Drosophila melanogaster: one gene and its partner. The protein of the gene in region 2 interacts with the protein of the main gene of each other region in a pairwise test. Each region holds a gene or a part of one and is shown on either strand. Other genes may lie near its edges.

The links.
Region 1: the proteins of CG11180 (region 2) and CG14302 interact in a two-hybrid assay, tested with the Drosophila melanogaster proteins (one large-scale study listed by BioGRID).

What each region holds. Positions count from the first base shown.
Region 1 is NT_033777.3:18,730,882-18,733,574, reverse strand, and holds CG14302 (uncharacterized protein), read right to left. Parts: upstream 895-2,693; 5' UTR 870-894; coding exon 863-869; intron 790-862; coding exon 581-789; 3' UTR 541-580; downstream 1-540. Other genes in the region: Mekk1, read left to right, coding at 1-146, 211-297.
Region 2 is NT_033778.4:20,620,378-20,625,346, forward strand, and holds CG11180 (uncharacterized protein), read right to left. Parts: upstream 3,053-4,969; 5' UTR 2,927-3,052; coding exon 2,854-2,926; intron 2,798-2,853; coding exon 690-2,797; 3' UTR 537-689; downstream 1-536. Other genes in the region: CG9945 (uncharacterized protein), read left to right, coding at 61-167, 231-371; FAM21 (family with sequence similarity 21), read left to right, coding at 3,239-3,340, 3,398-3,592, 3,653-3,792, 3,843-4,969.

The sequences.
Region 1 (2,693 bases), on a different chromosome or scaffold from region 2:
TCATGTTCAAAGTGGGCATGGGCGAGAAGCCGCAGGCACCGGAGAGCCTATCCCAGGAGGGTCACGACTTCATCGATCATTGTCTGCAGCACGATCCCAAGAGGCGTTTAACGGCAGTGGAACTGTTGGAGCACAATTTCTGCAAGGTGCGTATGCCTGTGGTTAGCTCGCTGCCAAATGTTGCTAATTGATTTTCGTTTCCATGTGCAGTACGGTCGAGACGAGTGCAGCAGTGAGCAGTTGCAGATGCAGGTGCGAGGCTCTTTCCGGCGAAATGTGGCGACCAGCAGCAGCTAGGTGCAACGTGGTGTCTACTTAACTAGCTTGCGGTTTTTTTTAGGCGCACCCCTACATATGATGCATATGTACATCGGTGTGGATTTTGTTTAGTGTCTAATTTATGTGAATGTCGATTATTTGAATGCCCTCGTCTGGTTTTATGTTGGACAATATATAACCCGTATAAAATAATCAAATGCCTTTCCGTACCGTAACCCCCACAATTCATTCGATGCAAGTGAAAATTACACGTATTTTAATATATTTGCGATTCAGTTTTTAATTCATCAATCGATGATGACTATCCGTAAATGGGATAGATGGTCGACGTTTCTGGCGTGGCATTTGTGGTCTCAGCCTGCGGCGGACCAGAGAATCCCGTGCTAGTCGTACCATCGACGGGAGCACCAGTTGGCGGAGTTGGCTCCGGGGTGGCAAGACTGGAGAAAGCCGACACCCACGAGGTGCACAGCATGAAGGCCAGACAGAGGCTAAACAGCAGGTTGAAGACTGCAACGAATTGAGCCGGTTACTCGAATGGTCCACGGATTGCGTTGGCGGTTACTCCTTGTACGGTACTTACATTTCATGTTGACGGCGTTTTAGAGACTGTTGAAGTGCCCAGAACGGCCAGGGCCTTTTATGGAGAACCACTTGGCCATGGGTATCCATTGGTATTTTATTTAATTAATTTATTAAAACACTATTTATCTGGCATTGGCTTATCATTATTTATTTATTTATTTGTTATCGTATTTACCACTTGGATATTAAGAAGTGCGCAGCTCGGATTTTCATGACTGTTTCAAGCGGAAGACGACTTATCTATTCTTAGAAGTCACTGAAAAATACGTGGCCAATTTGACCGTGCGCCTTATCCAAATCCATATACGTATGGAGTATTTTCATTCACCAGCAGATCAATTGTAGGTCAGGAATGATGGTGGTCTTGGTTTGTAATGCATTTATTTCAATTTATTCGGTTCGTGATTATTTATGCATACATTAATTGCGGCTCTTGGCCATATGGAAACGAGTCAAACTTAACGACAGTACAGAACAGTATGGTAACGTAATGATTGATACACAGATCGAATAATACAGGTAAGATAGATAGTTAGTTGGATAGTACGTAGTGATAGTTCGGTTAACAGTTTAGAAGATAATCATACATATAGTACATATATAGCAACAATGAACACAGCAACTAGTTTGATATAAGTATCTGGTTGTCCTTTAACGTTTCTCATATATTTTCCATTGTAAATAACATACGTATAGTATTTATGTATATAATATATTCTTTGCAGATTATTGACAGCTTTGGTGGATCGCCATCGAAACATCTTTTTTTTTTGCTAACGGCTCGAACAGACAAACAAACACACATAGGTTATATATGTATCTATATCATTCTAAATCGTCCTGCGCCGTGGGGCATCATTTGCCTTCCTGGGATGTATATAAATTTATTGATATGTATTGTTACGTCTCAAGTCTATACGCGTATTCTATATATTCCTCTACATTCATTTCATTATTCATTTACGGGTTGTACATACATATATTATTATATATATATATATATATATATATTCATCCAAAAAGCCTTTAGTTACGGTATACCATTTGCTCTCTAAAACACGAATATATATGGAAATATATTAACAGACATTATATAATTCTTTTTTTGTAATAAGTCCTCAAACAAACAACGAAATTGCAGTAACAAGCGCAGATAGTACTTTTAGTATATGCTTTAGCTAGTATCTTTTGTAACAACTATAGAACGTATTGTATTTGAAACACAACTTTCGTAACGAAAAGTATTGCATACTTGTGGGCTTGCTTGCCATAATTCGCTGACAGTAGGGGTATAAACAAGTTCGTAAGCTCTGCTAAGTTAGTTAGTGATTGGTATAACACTCATATTTAATATAGCACAATTAACACACTTAGATAACAGCACTAACAATTTGCGCATAAAACGGCTCTAAAACATTTAATTGACTAGAGTTGCTCTAATTCAAACTACGAGGATACTTTGGTAACGGATATGTAAAGCGAATGGGTTGCGTATAGTTTTCTTATTTCTTTTTTTTTGTGTTTTTTTTTTTGTCTCAACTTGATAGTGATTGACATCAGTTTTCGATTCCGATTTCGTTATCGTTATCCATCTTATTCCTCAGATGCCCACCCCTCGTTGGGTGGCTCGCTTGGTGGTGCTTGGTCACAAATGAAACGCCCGTGTGTGGTCGCTAGTTACACTTACTTACTTTCGTTCGCTAACCTGCTTAGGTACATTAACTGATATGTTTTTTTTTTTTCTGGTGGACCCCAATCCTAGCGACATTCTAGTCTAGTTCGTCTAGTTTTGCAGTAGATCACGCATTATGTCCAGCGAGTCCTGCAGC
Region 2 (4,969 bases):
ATTTCTGTGTTTCCGTTGATAAACATATTATGTTTTCAAAATAATCCAATTTTCTTACAGTTTATGATGTACTTACTGGTAAGATTCAAGAGGCTATTGAAGGACATAGGACTGTGATAAGAGATCTGGACTGGCATCCGGATCGCTCAGAAATCGTGTCTGGCTCGGTAAGCATCGAAATATGAGTAATATTCCTCTGAATAATAATGCACACTCAACTGCCTACGCAGTGGGACACCCATGTTCACCTGAACAACTTCAGCCGCAGCAACGCCAATCGTCCGGTAAAGCGATCACATAGCTCGGATCATGACAAAAAGCCCCTGAGAAGATCACGACGTTTGGCGAATCGAAATGTTACACCGGACTAGTTGTAAGGTTTAGAGTATAAGCTAGTAAGGTCCCCTTTGATATTACATTTCGTTACATTCATTCATAGTGGCTTGCCTAAGCGACGCACGAGAATATTCACCACAGTCGGGCCGGCTGGGATAATTGGTTCTATTAAATAAGACTGAAGAATATGTCACTCACTTGAAATGTATAGTTCAGTTTAATTAGTTAGCGTGTTATACAAAACAGTACATTAAAATGTAAACCATGAAGCTTACCAACTACCTACTTAAGTTGTTTATGTACAAAAACAATCATAATAAGAATCACGTTGAAATATATTTCGTTTGCTCGATCTAAATTCCTTGAAAGGCGACTCTCTTCTTGACCGCTCGTATGCTAGTTCTTTGCACCCTTACCGGATACTTGCTATGCTGTTTGCTTTTAAAATGCTCAACGGCTTTGTTTTTCCAAAGGTTGCGAATGCGCGTTTCATCGTAAGGACAGTCCACCACATTTAGCTCGACGTTTTCGCTGATTCCGTAGCCCACGATCTCGCCCAGCGACGAATTGTGAAACGCACTCATGTCGAACAATTGAAATTGGTCTGCACAGAATTTAGAGATATTAAAATGATTGAATGATTTGAGTTTTTCTTGGATCTCTTCCAGGGATAAGAGGTCCTTAGGCAGGTCTTCATCGGCTGACTGAACGCTTTTATTGCCGGAATTATTCTTGTCAGCACTTACGTCGTTCCTATCTTCGCCTCCTGTGTCCTTTCGATTATCGACAGCCGCCTCCACGGCGAGCGCAAATGAGGTGATCTCCAGTTTAGTCGAGGGCTCCGCAGACGATTTTAATTTGGATTTCTTCTTCGATTTCTTTTCAGTAGCTTCCGAGGCGGGAGGTGTTTCTTCTAAATCTTTTTCATCATTGTCCTTACGCTTCTCTTCCTTGGATTTCTTTTTCTTCTTAGACGGAGCTTCGGCTGTTAAATCTATGGTAATTTCTTCCTGAATTTGAGTGGTTTCTTGACTGTCCTTAGATTTACTTTTATTTTTAGTTCTATTTTCATTCGAAGTATGCGATTCATTATTTCTGTGTAAGTCGTCATCATCGATTACAATTACTTCGTCGGATTTCTTAGACTTTTTCTTTTTTTTCGCAGCTGGTTCTTCTATCGAATCTTCTGCAATCTCCTTATTTTTATCTGACTTTCTTTTCTTTTTTTGGTCACTCTCTTCTGTTTGTATCGACACTTCTGCTGATTCCTCCTCTTTTTTGGACTTTTTCTTTTTGGAGGAAGTCCTTTCACTTTCCTCAGTGATTTCCGCCATCTCTACGCAGTTGTTGTCCGTCTTCTCGGTTTCATCGACAGACGATCGCTTAGATTTCTTCTTTTTCTTAAGTTTGGGAACGTCCTGCTCGATTTCTTCCACAGCAGTTGGTTGCTCGCTAGTCCTTTCTTTGCTTTTAACTAATTTTTCCTCAACAAAGTTGTTCTCCGACTGCTCAATTTCATCGAGAGACGATCCCTTCGATTTCTTCTTTTTCTTAAGCTTGGGAGCGTCCTGCTCGATTTCTTCCACAGCAGTGGGTTGCTCGTCAGTCCTTTCTTCGCTTTCAACTAATTTTTCTTCATCAAGGGATGATCGCTTTGATTTCTTCTTTTTCTTAGGCATGGAAGCAACCTGCTCTGGTTCTTCCTCTTTAGTTGGTGGCTCGTCTGCCCTCTCCTTGTCTTTCTTTTTTTTCTTTTTCTTGGAAGTCACTTCATCATTATCTGCTGAAATCTGTTCAAACTTTTCAGCATGACCATTGGTCTGTGCCTCGTTGTTGTCTTCAACTTGGGAGCCTTTCTTTAGTCTGTTTTTCATGGCTTCCATTTTCTGCTTGAAATAATCAGTGGTCGACAGGCCCGTGACAATTGTCTGCACGCCAGCGAAGTTGGGGTTTGGCTCCTCGGGTTGGACAGCCAGCACGGGTTCTGGATATCTCTCGACGTCCTCAGTTGCCTTCTTGCCGAATATATTGGCTAGATCCTTTTCGCTGTACAGAGCCAAGTCCTTGCCGCGTGTGAACTTCTTATAGTGGACGCGTGCCCTGCTCTGCTTCGACCGCTCCTCCAGCGACATTCCACTGGTGTTCTCCTTGAGTTTCTTCTTAGACGGCTCCTCCGGTTCAATGGCTTTGAAGCCAAAGCCCATAGGTCTGGCCTCCTCTTCGGACTCCGGCTCTTTGTCTATGCCGCCGCTATCTTCCCCATTTAGCGACTTAAGCAGCCCATTGAAGCCATCCTCGTGTACAGTCCACTGATCATCGCGCTGCTCGAAACCCAATCCTTCTGCGTCATTTTTAAAGCGAATGCGCACAAAATCCTTTTCGCCATTCAGATTGGCGCCCAGGCCACTGCCTTTCGTCCAGCCCATTTTCTCCAGCATTTTGGTACCGAAGCGATTTTCATCTGTTAAAGTTTAAGAATTTACGATTTACCAGTCACATTTGGAGTTTAATGCTCACCTTCATAGAGAGCCTTGCCGCGCGGACACAAGTTGTACTTTTTGCGCCGACGTGGTTCAGCCAGCATAGCCATTTTAGTCTATAATTATTTATAATCTACTTCGTTTTAAATGTAAATTGCGGATAACTAACAAAGATACAATTCGTAAATTGCGAACAACCCAACACGTGCTATCAAATATCGATAGCAAGTTTAAACAAGATATATCGATAGCGATTGTCGAAACAGCTGCTCAGCAGGCTTAGGGATGAGCGTTGGCTGTGCGCTGATAACAGGTGATTAACTATCGCTCATCTCTATTTGGGTGTCATTACTAAGTTTGTTGTTGTTGCTCTTAATTAGTTGTTATTATTTTCTGACTTGCGAGCTTGCAGTCGACTGATAATGGATATAAGCGCGGATGTGGATCAGATAATAGCCCAGGCTCCGGACTGGACCTTCGCGGGCGACTGTGCTCTGCTGGCGCTGATGAAGCGCATTTCCCAGGTTAAATTCACATACGTGCATAGATAACAAGCCAATTTGATAAAATTTTTGCAACAGAATCTGGAAGAAAGGGGCGAAAGGACCAGCCGCAATCTGCGAGACTTTGAGACGAGCGTGAAGCAAGTGGATATAGCGCTGAACAATGCCACTACCAGCCTGCGATCCCTGCAGTTTGGAAATCAGTTCGTGGAGTATCGGGTGGAGGAAGTGGATGACGCAGATTTGGCCATGCCCGAAGAGAAGAAAAAGAAGGTGCAATAAGCGATGGAATTTTGCAGGCTGCTGTGTTTACAGATCTTAATATGCTTGCAGCCAGAGCTGCCGCTCAAGAGTTCCGAGGAATTGGCAAAGGAGTTTCTGGAAAACAACCTTCGTATGTTCCGCAAAAACTACGAGCCGGTGACCATAGAAGTGCCCGATTCGGATGATGAGGATGGCCCCGTCCACTCAACGTAAGTGACTACACTACGATTCCGATCCATACTAACTCCACTTTCCACAGAACCGTATTCCGTGCTAAGAATCCCTATGATGCGATACCTTTGCCCTATATTATTGGTACCAAAGAGTGGCAGGAACACAAGTATGCCGGGTTGTATGACAGTAAGGAGAATAGTGAAGATGACAGATCCGAGGAATTCTCCTCAAGCTCATCGGACGAAAAGGAACCCGAGACCAAAAAAATAGCAACGCCAGCGAACAAATTAGAAGAACAGCATCTGTCTGACTCCTCTTCCCTAGCCTCGTTTGCCAGGGAACCGGCAATCGTGTCGCCAGTCATTAACCCTGCTGTTCAGGTAGCAGAGCCTGTCATCAGAACACAACCGCGTCCAATTATAAACAGTCAAAGGAATCCACATGAGAGGGACATGTTTGCTGCCCTCCGGCAATCGCCGCCTAGCGACGACCCGCCATCCACATCGTCATCGCCTACATCTTCACCAGCCTTTAGGAATCCATCAAGTCGCCTTCCAATCGTATCTACTGCATCGCTTAGTTCCAGTAGCAGTAGTCCTGCCCAACAACCTCCTCGACTCTTCGACGAAGCTGTTTCAACCCAAACTCCGAAGGAGGCTGAGATCAAGCCAAGCCAAACAAAGCGCATGCCAGTTAATCTTTTTAACGAAGATGAGTTTAAATCCTTCATGTCCGAAATCGTGGACAAAGTCCAGTCAAAAACACCCAGCAGCTCCGTCTCCCCAGCAACGACAATTTCAACAAAAGAACCACCCAAAACTAAAAAACCCGTGGAAGAATATCCAAAGCCAGGGCCGCCAAAGCAGATTGTTGAGCAGACAGTTCCAAAACGTGTAAACCTCTTCGACGACAGTCCTCCATTGAGTCCAACTCCGAGGTCAGAGCCTGTTTTTAATAATACTAAAGCAACGGGTGCAATACCAAAACGGAGTCCAGTTGTAGTGGCCAATAATGATGAAGATAACTCGCTTTTTGGTAGTTCTCCTGCCATGCCAAAGGAAAATCCTTCCAAAAAGCCACCTAAACCGGTAACCAAATCTCTATTCGATGATGACTTGGAGGACGACGACTTCTTGAGCTCCTTTACGCCCAAAGCAAAGCCACCAGAACAAAAACTGCTCTCAAAACCAAAGCCCTCCTTATTTGATGATG